2 linked regions of the Cricetulus griseus genome follow. The protein of the gene in region 1 interacts with the protein of each later gene in a pairwise test. Links are inferred from orthologs where the notes say so. Each region holds a gene or a part of one and is shown on either strand. Other genes may lie near its edges.

Region 1 (5,688 bases):
ATGGTGCAGTGGTTAAGAGCACTGGTCACTCTTTCAGAAGACCTGGGTTAAATTCCCAGCACCCACATTATAGTTCACAACCACCTGTCACTCCAGTTCCAGGGTATCTGACACTCGCACACAGACACACATGAGGCAAAACACTAATGCACATAAAATAAAAGTGATCCCAGCATTTAGAATGTAAAAGCAAGAAGTTCATATCTTCTAGGTCAACCTCAGCTACACAGTGAGTTGGAAGATGGCTCTGGCTACATGAAATCTTGTCTCAGAAAAGAAAAAAAAAAAAAAAGCAAAGCAAAAAAAAAGGTAGAATTAGCCAGGCATTGGTGGAGCATACCTTTAATCCCAGCACTCTGGAGGCAGAGGCAGGTGGATCTCTGTGAGTTCAAGGCCAGCCTGGTTTACAAGAGCTAGTTCCAGGACAGCCTCCAAAGCTACACAGAGAAACCCTGTCTCAAAAAACAAAAACAAACAAACAAACAAAAAGCTAGAATTAAAAAAAGAAAAAAGCAGTTAGACTGATTGTAATACATACCCAAGTCTTTCAAAATGGCGTGAGAACACAGTTTCCTGCTGTTCGTAGACAGGAATTTGATTAGCAAAAAAGACCACTTTCCCCTTTTGTCCATGTGGGAAGCTTCTAAGATGATGTTCACATATAAGAAGTGACACAAAGGTTTTCCCACAACCTTGTAATATGGAAGGAAAAAGAACAGGTAACCAATGTTAGATGTTTCTCTAGTATGTATTTATTTTTGGCTTCTCTATCACCACTGGGATACAAATAAAGACAGCAACAGTTTAAACAATGGCTAAAAACTATCAAGCTACTTCCTAGGTAGCATGAACTCAAGTAGTAAGAACCAAAGGCAAACTAAGAGGGCATTTCTCTTTCATTGTCCATGTTCCTTAAAATGACACATTATATTGATAGGACAGCTCACCCAGTGGCAAATGCAAGAGGGAAAAAAACTTGAACTTCTTCATTTTATCACAGTAACCAAAAATAGAAGAAAAGAGAAAATTTTATAAGTTACGGTAACCGACTCACCAGTAGGAGCACATATTATGGTATTTTTCCCTTTCTGTGCAGGCAGAGCAAGCTCCAGTTGATAATTCCTTGGTTTCAATGAGCTGTGCAAATTATTACAAGATTCGTCTACAATATAGAAGGAACAAAGTTACCAAATGGCTAGTGTGCTAACTGCAGTTGGGTGGACATGAGTTCTGTCTCTAGCAACAAGGGCCCCATTTAGGAGATTTGGAATCTTGCCTGTTATTATTTGTCCCATTCCCCCCCCCTTGATTTGAAGCACACACTTGTCTCTCAGTGATAAAGTATCTATAACAAGGATACAGGAACGGCCAAAGTGAATTCTTTCTTAATCATAGAAACTTGATTAAGAAAAAAGGAAAGTAAGAATGGTTTAATTCGGGGCTGGAGAGATGGCTCAGCGGTTAAGAGCACTGACTGTTCTTCCAGAGGTCCTGAGTTCAATTCCCAGCAACCACATGGTGGCTCACAACCACCTTGAATGAGATCTAGTGCCTTCTGTTGGCATGCAGGCAGATGGCTGTATACAAAATAAATAAATAAATAAATAAATAAATAAACAAATAAAATCTTAAAACAAAAAAGTATGGTTTAATTCAAAGCAAAGTTACTCAGAACAAAGTAAGAACAGACACCAAAGACAACTGAAAAGAACCAGGCTGCTGGCATCAGGTTCTCCAAGCAACTTTAGCAAGGAGGAGCCATGCTGTATGTTCCTCAGGATCCCAGATGGCTCAGCACAACCCATCTAGGATCTGAGGCGTCGTGTCAGTAACAGGTCAGCATACAAAAGGTCAAGAGACAGAGCAGACTGCAATCACCTCATTGTCTAATCTTCCCACTGTAAAGAAAGAGAACTTCCAGAAGGTTGAGACAAAATAGCTTTGCTTAAGATGTGTATGGATCACTGTGTGTCTGAAACATTAGTACTGCGTCACTCTGGAATGGCAGAAACCTTGCGACATTCATTTCATATATTTGTAAGGCATCTTTTTTTAAATGATGTTCTAAAAAATTACGTTGTTCTTTTAACACTATTCATTATTCATCTTATTTCCTTCCTGATACATTTTGTTATAAATACGTTATTGTATATCTTACAACCTTCTGGTCTCTTCATGATGAAGATGTATTTCAAGGAGCATTAGAGAGGGGCCTCGTCCAGCCATAGCTAACTTTCACAGAACCATGAATATGAGAACAAGTTGATTTGAACCCTCCACACAGAGGCTAGCAGAGAGAGCGCACAACCCACTCATCCACTTGTGTGGCAGCCCTGGGATCCTGGAAGGAGACCGAGCAAATGGCTCATAAACAGAAGTATTCTTTTAGACAACAAGGTTGCTTGGGATGTTACAGACAGTGAAGTTCTGGGAACACTACATCAGAGCAAGACTTGGACATACATGTGCATGAGTGAAAGGCAGATAAAAGCAGCTGAGGCTAACAAAGATAGGAAGGAACAGTGATTCTAATTATGAAGTCTATTGTCACACAAATTCTCTTTTGTTTCCTAATCATCCGTTAAAAGGACTTTAGTGCTGGAGATAGAACATTATGGAAAAGAGCCGGGCGTTGGTGGCACACACCTTTAATCCCAGCACTCAGGAGGCAGAGGCAGGTGGATCTCTGGGAGTTCGAGACCAGCCTGGTCTACAAGAGCTAGTTCCAGGACAGCCTCCAAAGCCATAGAGAAACCCCGTCTGGGGGGGGGGGACAATAACAATAACAATAACAACAAAAAAAGGCCATTATGGAAAAAGAACAAGTGATGCCCAGGCAAGGATTCTGAGAACAAATGAGGCCCGGGTACCTGATGGTAGGCAGGGATTCTGACTGAGAACCTGGCATTCTGGCTCCTCCTGTATGAAAATCTGTATGCTGGATATCTCCATTCCATCATCTTCAACAGCTTTACTTTCAAGCCCTTTGAAACCTTTGTGAGATAAAAAAAAAACCTTAGAATCTTAATGTAATCTGACTGTGGATTTAGTTATGAAAATCCCCAAAAGTCCTAACACTAAAAATCTAAATTTCCATTGAGTGCTTACAACCATGCCCTTTCACTTTCTTAACATTTTGTTTAAATTCTTTTGTTTATTAGCTAATTTATTGTGTGTGTCACTCATGACACAAGGAGAGTATGGAGGGCAGAAGACAATTTTTGGAAACTGGTTCTCTGTATCCTGTAGGTCCTAGAGGTTGAACTCAGGTCTTCAGGTTCCATGACAGGGAGGAGCCTTCATCTGCTGAGCCATCTCACTGTCCCCCTTTAATTTCTTAAAGTAACGGGAAGAATCATTTTTAGTTTGAAGTTCAACTTGGTGTTTGAATGCCAGTGTCATTTAGAACCATGTGACTCCAAGTGTGGAATGTGTCACTTATGAGCAGTATGCATCGTGAGCCCCTCCCCTCTTGGTAGCTCGTGTCAATCACACTCAGAAAGAGATTCTTTCCTAGGCACACAAAAGAGACACTCATGGCTTTTGTCTCTGGCTAATCCCTCGCCAAAGACATAGACAGTTCTACAAGAATTTATGTTCTAAAGAAACCTAGGTGAAAACTAAAGCTAGAAACTCAGGTATTTGTCATACTCAGATTTAAAGCAAGAGTGAGTTTCCAGAAGCCAAATAAGATTGGCTTAATCACAGGGAATTTTCATTCACTCCTGCTCTGTTGGTTCCAGCTGGCTTCCAGGCAAGAGAACCAATCAACATCTATCATTCTCAATATCCAACCTCTACTCTGGCAGGGAGAGAAGTCTGGCAATTTGAGCCTTTAGGTCTGGAATTCTCAAGCTATTTCTCTGATAACTTAAGTTTGGGCTGGAAGCTCTTTTTTTTTTTTTTCTTCCCCAGAATCTTTGGGCTGTGTAGGCTAATTCCCTCCCAGAACTCAGCTTCCTGGTACTTGTTCCCTAAGGACCCAGCCTTGGTTATCTGAAGGGAATAGAGTCTTTCATGAAAAGTAATCTCTGGGTGAATGTGGCAAGTCCCATGGTGAATGGTGAGGGGCACAGCGTGGTCCAGGGCTCTTTCTTGAAGCAGCTCACCTTCATCGACAATCCACAGTTCACTGAACTTGTTGTCTTCTTTCTCCAAAGCAAATTTCAAAACCTTGGGCCAGTTCTCTTTATCAGATCTGAGAAGACATTCAACCATCTTCTCTGCGCCTGCCATCATGCCTTTTGTGAAGCAGATCTGAGTGAGACAAATGCAGCATATTGACCAATTAGCTCAGCTTTCACCGAAGAAATGTCTACTCAAGTAGCATCTGATCAAAATCACTGTGAAGTATATAGTTCAGTAGGTCTTAGCATCATGTTTACCCTGCCTAGCACTAGCATTTAAGATATTCTTTCCTTCACCTTTGTCCTTTATATGTTATATGCGATATCAATATGCCAAGCTAAATGTTCTCATCTGAATCCTTACATCTGTTACCATCAGCAATCCCAGGGCAAAAGCTAACCCATATGATAACCATTCACAATAAGGATATATTAGCATACAGAGCGATTATGAAGACTCTAACAGCACAACAGTAGATTTTTTCAGAGTGGGTATTCTATGACTTTTATTTCTAATGATAACTAAAATGTACTGTGTATGTATTATCATGCATCAAGCTGACAATAAGCACTGTATCTGTATTACCTCATTTAAGCCTACCAGCATGTTAATAAGGTTCATTTTTCTTACTTTAGACATGAAAAACCAGATCCTTAGAGAAGCTAAATGAATTGCCCAGGATCGCATCACTAGTTCAGTGATTTAGAGACTATAATAAATGTATCTATGTCCAAGAGCCTAGCAATGTTCTTTTCGTTTGTTGTACTGTTCAATGTGATTTGCATGTACATAAAACACTATTGAGAGAAAAAGTAACAGGGCAACTTTAACTGAAAATAGGTTATACTTCAAAAGTCTAGCATAAAAATGACCACATTTGGAAGCCTTACCCTCTCTGTAGAGCAGATGGTGGGAGAGGGGAGTGGGGGAAGTGGGAGGAGAGGGGAAATGGGATTGGAATGTAAAAAATAAATTTATAAAAAAATGACCCCGTTCACATTAAAAATTCTTTTCTAGTCATTATGTCTTCTAAATGAGGGCTTTGATGGGTTTCAATTACCCTTTGAGGGCCTAAAAACAATACAGAATACAGAGACCATTTCCAAGAGTCTCAGCATTTTTCTCTAAATTTAGTCCTTTGCGTTAATTTACCTGTCTGATTTCTTCACATTCCTGATTAATTAAGCATTCAGACATTTCAGAAAGAATATCTGTTGGGTTAATTCTGGCCTTAAATTCTGGCTGTAGACGTCGTAAAAGTAATCTGTGTTCCTCTAACTTTTCAATTTTTTGGAAATCCCAATTTTCAATGGCCTCATGAAGTCCACAGTAACCTGAAAAGAAAAGAAAATAGGGATTTCTTAAATGAGCCCAACATAAAACGCTTTGACATCAAAACCATAGGAATACTGTTTGAATCTATGGGAAGAGTCCTCAAAACCAACTGCAAATGGCCTCAGCTTCTGTAGTCTGCAGAGCAGCCCAGGGGGGCTGATAGGCTGAAGGCTGAGTCCCCAGTAGGGGGTGTCTTTAGAAGTGACTGCACCATGCCAGCACTGG
Region 2 (6,284 bases), on another chromosome or scaffold:
GCCCATAATTCTAGTTCTAGACAAACCTGACTCTGTCTTCTAGCCTACACACATTTGATACACTCAGACAGATGTACACATAAGTTTTAAAAAAATCTTTTAAAAAATGTTTTAGAGAGCTTGTGCAACACAGTAGTTCAGGCAGGTAAGCTTAAATTTAAATACACACACTCACTCACGTTTTTTTGAGACAGGATTTCTCAGTGTAACAGCCTTGGCTGTTCTGGAATTCACTGTGTAGGCCACACTGGCCTTGAACTCACAGAGATCCACCATCTCTGCCTCCTGAATGCTAGGACTAAAGGAGTGTGCCACCACTGCCTGGCCAAATTTTTTTTTCTGAGACAGGATTCTCTGTGTAGCTTTGGAGCCTGTCCTGGCACTAGATCTGTAGACCAGGTTGGCCTTGAATTCACAGAGATCAGCCTGCCTCTGCCTCCCAAGTGCTGGGATTAAAGGCATGCACCACCAACGCCTGGCTCTGGCCAAATTTTTTAAATATTTACTTTTCAAATTGTTTATGTGTATGAGTGTTTTGCCTGCCTGTATGTTTTCACACCACTTTCGAGTTTGGTGCCCATGGAGGCCAGGTGGTGGCATCATATTCCCCTAGAACTGGAGTTACAGACAGTTGTGAATGGCCATGCGGATGCTGGGAATGAAACCCAGGTCCTGTGGAAAAATAGTCAGTATTCTTACAACTGAGCTGCCTCTCCAGCCCCAAGATTTATTTATAATTTATACGCATGGGCATTCTGCCCACATGTATGTCTGTGCATGGAGTTCCTACAGAGGCCAGCAAATGACATCCAATCCCCTGGAACTGAGTTACAAATGGTTGTGAGATGTCATGTGGGTACTGGGACTCAAACCCATTATCCTCTGGAATAGCAGCCAGTGTTCTTAACCACCGAGCCTTCTCTCTGGCTCCCTTAAGCTTAATTTTTTTAATGGGCCACTTTTAAATGCCCATCCATTTTATTACTGTATGTGTAAGACGGTTGTGTGAATGTGTGCACATGTCACAAGCACAGTATGAAAAATAAGAGGACAGCTTTTGTAAGTTGATTCTCTCTTTCCACTTTGGGTTCCAGGGCTTGATCTCAGCCATCGGGCCTACACAGCAAACTCTTTTACCTGCTGAGCCCTTTCACCAGCCCTAAATGTAAGCTTTTAAAGTGCCTGAAATGCAAGCAAGCATTACTTATGCAGCACCACAATCTGCAACTACACATGTTTGTTTACTTGTCTCTTATTTGCCCTCCCCGTCAGGGCTAAGAAAGACAAGGTCACTGTGCCCTCCACATCCAATTTATATACTATTGGAGTGGAACTGGTCACAGATCTGTCAGCACATACCTAGACGGCAAGTCCAGAAAGTAATTCTGATTATGAAGATAGTAAAATGAGACAATGGGACAGAACTCCAGGAGGAAATACCCGGGCAGAAGGCAAACCAGATGCAAAAGTCCTAAGATGTGTGTTTCTCTTCAAACACCCAAAGTTCTAAGAGCTTGTTGTATTTGAAGAGAAAGTAGGTGAGTGAAGAGGTTTGGAAAGCTTAGAGGGGTGGAGGCCAAGGTCAAAGAGATTAGCTTGTAAGGTGTTGTGGGAAGGACTTTTCGGGTTTTATTTGGTGTGAAACGGGGGAATCAATGGGAAGCAGAAGCGCTGACTTGCACTGCAGAATTCTCCGGAGGTTCTAAGGCCTTTGAGAAGCCAGCATAGAAGGAAGGTGACAAGTCAAGAGACCAAGAGGGGGAACGATGCTGGTGTGGCCAGTATGGAAACCACAGAGGTGGGGATGGGCAGCTATATTCCTGGCGCTCTGTGCACACGGGAGGTGGGGAAAAGAATCTAACATTGTTTCTTGGGAGCTGGTGCAAGGAAGGTGCCATTTACTACACTAGGGAAGTCAGGGAGAAGCCATAGAAAGGCAGTGCTTCAGAGCTCCATTTTGACAAGTTTAATTTGTTGGATTCCAAGAGTATTGTTCAAAAGAGAGGAAGAAAGTGGGAGAAGAGAGAACCAAGTGCTCTTGTTTGAAATACAAGGCCCCTGGGAGACAGTGTAGCTGCTGCAGGGGCAGGGCCCTGATACATGGAAGATGAAGTACCTGGCCTGCCTAGTGACCTCAGCCCCGTGTTATCTGCTGCGAACTACCAAATGCTACATTCCTGTGGAGAGCTACAGATGGAAGGTCGGGAGGTGAGGGAGGTAAGATTAGGGTCTGTTGGGCCTTCAAGTGATGGAAAAGAATAGCTCTGTGGCGGACAGGCTGATGAAACCTCCCCCCTTCTTGCCCAGATCACCTAGAAAGATGAGATGACAGAGTCAAATTAGCGTTTTTTTCTTCGGTCCAGCCACAGCACTGAATGTACAGATGCCGGTATGTAGCCCCACCAAAAGCTAAGAAAGTTCACAGTTGTTCATTTCTTTAAGGTTCATTGTTACCAAGGGCATCCTAAGTTTCTTCAGTTAGTCCTTTGACACAATCATGAGCAAGAAGGAAGTGACACTATGCTACACTACTGACAGTGTGGGATTTGAACCCAGACTTCTTTTGCCCCCGTGGACTAACAGAGCATAGAGGCCCCTGCAGCAGGAGAGCCACAAAGTCTGTCTTTACGCCAAGGTCGCTCACTGCCTGTGGGTGGGACTACAGGGTGAGAAGATGCAGCATTTAGGCTCTTGGAAAACATAAAAATCTCTCAGACACAGCTCGCGTTAATGCCGCTCTCAGCCCTCACTGACATTGGCTTGAGTTCTGAGATCAAGGCCGAATGCCCTTAAAGTTTTTGAAGCTTCACAGTATCCAAAGAACTTTTTTTTTTTTTTTTTTTGCTTTCCTTTGTTTTCCTCCTTTTCCTCAAACTTCTTTCCCATCTCAGAGAAAAGGAGATAGATGGCAAGGGTGTCTCGGACACAGCAAAGCTTCTGATCGGGTCACGGAAAGAAATATCGACACTCCCGAGGGACAGGTCTCCTGACCTCAAACTAGATTAACTGGCAGGACCCAGGTCTCCAAGTGCAGGGAGGCTGTTTTGAACAGGTGTCGCTACCCACAGCTGTCACACCCAGGATCGGGCGGCAGTCCGGACTGACAGACCTACTCTGTGAAGCGACTGCCACAGGTCGTTGCGCGCGGTCAGGCCTCGCGGGAGTCACCGGGGCCAGGGAGAGGCAGGAGGCACTCCGCGGTTTTTCCTATCCAGCCCGGGCAAACGCTCTGCACCACCTACCTGCTCGCTAAGGGTGCTGGATGCGGCTCGAGGAACTCCCAGGGTTCGGAATCCGTGTGGGACCGGCCGCACCCTCCCATAATCAGGTCAGGAGCCTCCCCGACCCCGCGTGCCCAGGCCCCGGCGATCCTGCGGACTCCGAGACGCACTGGGCTCCGTCCAAGGCCCCCTCCCTGAAGGGCGTTGGGGAGCACGGAGTCCTGAGAACCCACTCCCAGGCTGCGAACTTACCAAGAGGAAACCAGAGTAGGCAACAGGTTGACCTGCAAGCGACCGTGCAGAACCCTCCCAGATGAAGAGGGCGGGGCGGGCGGCGGGGCGAGCAGCGCGGCCATTGGCCAAGGAGTAAGGAGGAGGGAGGAGCGGAACCGGAATCTCGGTCATTGGCTGGGCCGGGCCTGGACGGGATGGGTCGGAAGCATGGCAAGAAGGACGTGGACCGAGGAGAGCCGATCGTGGGGCCATTGGATGAGCCCCGAGTTTCGTGAGCCTCTGGTCTAGCTGCTAGTGCTCGGTAGGCCTTGTTTGGGGGCAGTTCTGGTTCCCTGCAGAGACATGAAGGAGCAGATTGTTTTCTCGCTGCTTGGTCTGGAGCAGTTTCCAGAGGAAGTCCAGAAGCCCTGAAAACTGGCCTTCTTGGACTCCCAAGCAACTCAAGCAAAGCAGCTCTTTTAGCCAACTGCTGGAGGGGAGAGGGTCTATAGTGCCCGGCAAGAAGTGCTCCATAAAGGTGGGGTGTCAGGCAAATGCCACAGGGGTGTGAATGCCTAGCCAGGCGACACGAGCAGACACAGTGGGAATATGGTGCAGCAAAACTTGGAAGTATGCACCCATGTCTGGCGGTAATTCCATGTCTGGAATTACAGGGTGACCTACACCTCTGATCTCCACTGGCACCTGTATTCACTGTACACACACCAAGGCAATTAAAACTAAGATTAAAATCTCCTTTTAAACCACATCCACTAGAAAAGTTCTAGTGGTTTGATTATGAAACCAATTCAAGTGTCCGTCAGTAAAATAAATGGGCAGACTGTGATTAGTACACAGCAGTAAAAGATCACGTAACAGGAATAAGATCTCACCATACTGGACTAGGTGGCATTGCTAAATAGGTGCTCTGCTAACGGAGACAAAATGCTTTCTGCTTCCAGTCAAATGTTTCAACAAGAAGTAAAAAGCTAATGTACTAAAAAAGAAATCATATTAGTTACCTCAGCACGCCTAGAGGGTAGAAATGTCCTAGAGCCTGATGTAGGTGGTGAGTACACAGCTTGAATATATGTAAAAATGTATCAATCAGCAAGGGCTGGTGAGATGGCTTAGCAGGTAAAGTCACTTGCTGCCAAGCTTGAGGATCTTTGTGTGGTTCCTTTAATTTACACGAGGGAAGGATAGTCGATTCCCAAAAGCATTGGTATCTACCTCCCCCCATAAATATAAAACATGAAATATTTTGAAAAATGCATCAATGATATACTTAATGTTATACTTTCCTATCTAGCACAGTTTTTTTTTTTTTTTTTTTTTTTTTTTAGAGAAGGCTAAGGGATTCCGTGGAGATCACTGAGGTTAGAACTGCTGCCAAACAGAATTAGTTATGTGACAGAGATTCTGGAACTCTTTGAGATTGTATTACTGTTGGTCTTAGGGTTCCTAGTGCTGTGAAGAGACATTATGATCACGGCAATTTAACTGAGGGCTGGCTCACAGTTCAGAGGTTTAGTTCAGCATGGCAGGAAACATGGCAGAGTGCAGGCAGACATGGTGCTGGAGAGAGAGGCTGAGAGTTCTTTCTACATCTGGATCTTTGGGCAGCTGAAAGGGAGAGTGAGCCACTTGGCCTAGGCTGAGCTTCTGAAACCCAAAGCCCATCACTGGTGACACACTTTCTTCAGCAGGGCCACACCTCCTAATAGTGGCACTCCCAGTGAGCCTATGGGGGCCATTTTCATTCAAGTCACCACACTGTTCTTGGTAGTTGTGTAGATAGTTCACAACTTTCAGGGTGTACAAATCACACATAAGTTTGATCCCTGGGACAACATGGTGGAAGAACTCCTGAAAACTGTCTTCTGATCTCCACAATTATCTGTCCCCCTGACTGCAAAACAAATTTGAAAATGTCAAAAGCAATTTTTTTAAGTAAGTATTGGTGATTTAGTCTTGCTGCAAACCACCATGACTCTTATTTAATGCTTGCAAAAAGAGCATCAGGCCTGTGGGGACTGGCTTTCTAAATGTGGTTATAGTTAGCCCTGTCCTTGCTGGGCTTCGAAGGGCATTGAAACAATCCGGCTTCCTGACCTGCCTGGTTCCCAATCACCTGTCAACAGCTCTTTAAATTCTAGAAAAGGGACAGTGGTCATGCCTCTGGCATTCTGAGCTCCATTGGCCATATTTCAAATGTGAAATTCATCTGCATGTTGGCCATTGAGATACAGAACATTTCTATCTTAGAAAATTCTATTGGATAGCACTGGTCTACAGAATAACTTTAAAAATGTTAAAGTCATTCTCTTTCCTCCGTTACTCTGAGGAGGCAGACAGGTCTCTGTGTCCTCTCTCTCTCTCTCTCTCTCTCTCTCTCTCTCTCTCTCTCTCTCTCCTCTCTTCCCTTTTCCCAGTAAAACTTCCCATGTGAAAAAAAAGTTAAGGTCATGTGATGCAGCCTATGACCCCAGCACTTAGGAGGTTGAGGTAAAGGCAAGACATCCGAAGTTTGAAGCCAACCTGCCTACATAGTAAGACCTTGTCTCAAAAAAGAAAGGGAAAAAACTAACATCAAAGTCATGAAAATTAGGGAAAGATCAGAGAACTATTTCAGACTAAAGGAGACTGAGTAGTATAATAACTGAAAGTAAGGCGCCATCCTAGGCTGGGTCCTGAAACACACAGAAAAAGGACACTAGAGGGACAAAGGTGAGATCTGAACTAAGCTTTTGGACAGTTAATAGCTCTATCATGTTTACTGTTCTAACTGACGTATAACAGTTGTAAAGAGGTACTTGTGTTACTTGGAAACTGTAAGTCTGAAATTTT

Evidence for each region. The genes of interacting proteins can lie anywhere in the genome.
Region 2: the proteins of Ddx58 (region 1) and Mavs interact in binary tests that used the Homo sapiens proteins (3 or more experiments, as listed by UniProt). The link is inferred for Cricetulus griseus from reciprocal best matches to the Homo sapiens genes RIGI and MAVS.

What each region holds. Positions count from the first base shown.
Region 1 is NC_048595.1:102,329,630-102,335,317, reverse strand, and holds part of Ddx58 (antiviral innate immune response receptor RIG-I), read right to left. Parts: intron 5,463-5,688; coding exon 5,281-5,462; intron 4,865-5,280; exon of another isoform or gene 4,764-4,864; intron 4,258-4,763; coding exon 4,110-4,257; intron 2,994-4,109; coding exon 2,871-2,993; intron 1,163-2,870; coding exon 1,055-1,162; intron 693-1,054; coding exon 539-692; intron 1-538.
Region 2 is NC_048599.1:47,337,100-47,343,383, forward strand, and holds the start of Mavs (mitochondrial antiviral-signaling protein), read right to left. Parts: upstream 3,615-6,284; 5' UTR 3,474-3,614; intron 3,431-3,473; exon of another isoform or gene 3,243-3,430; intron 1-3,242.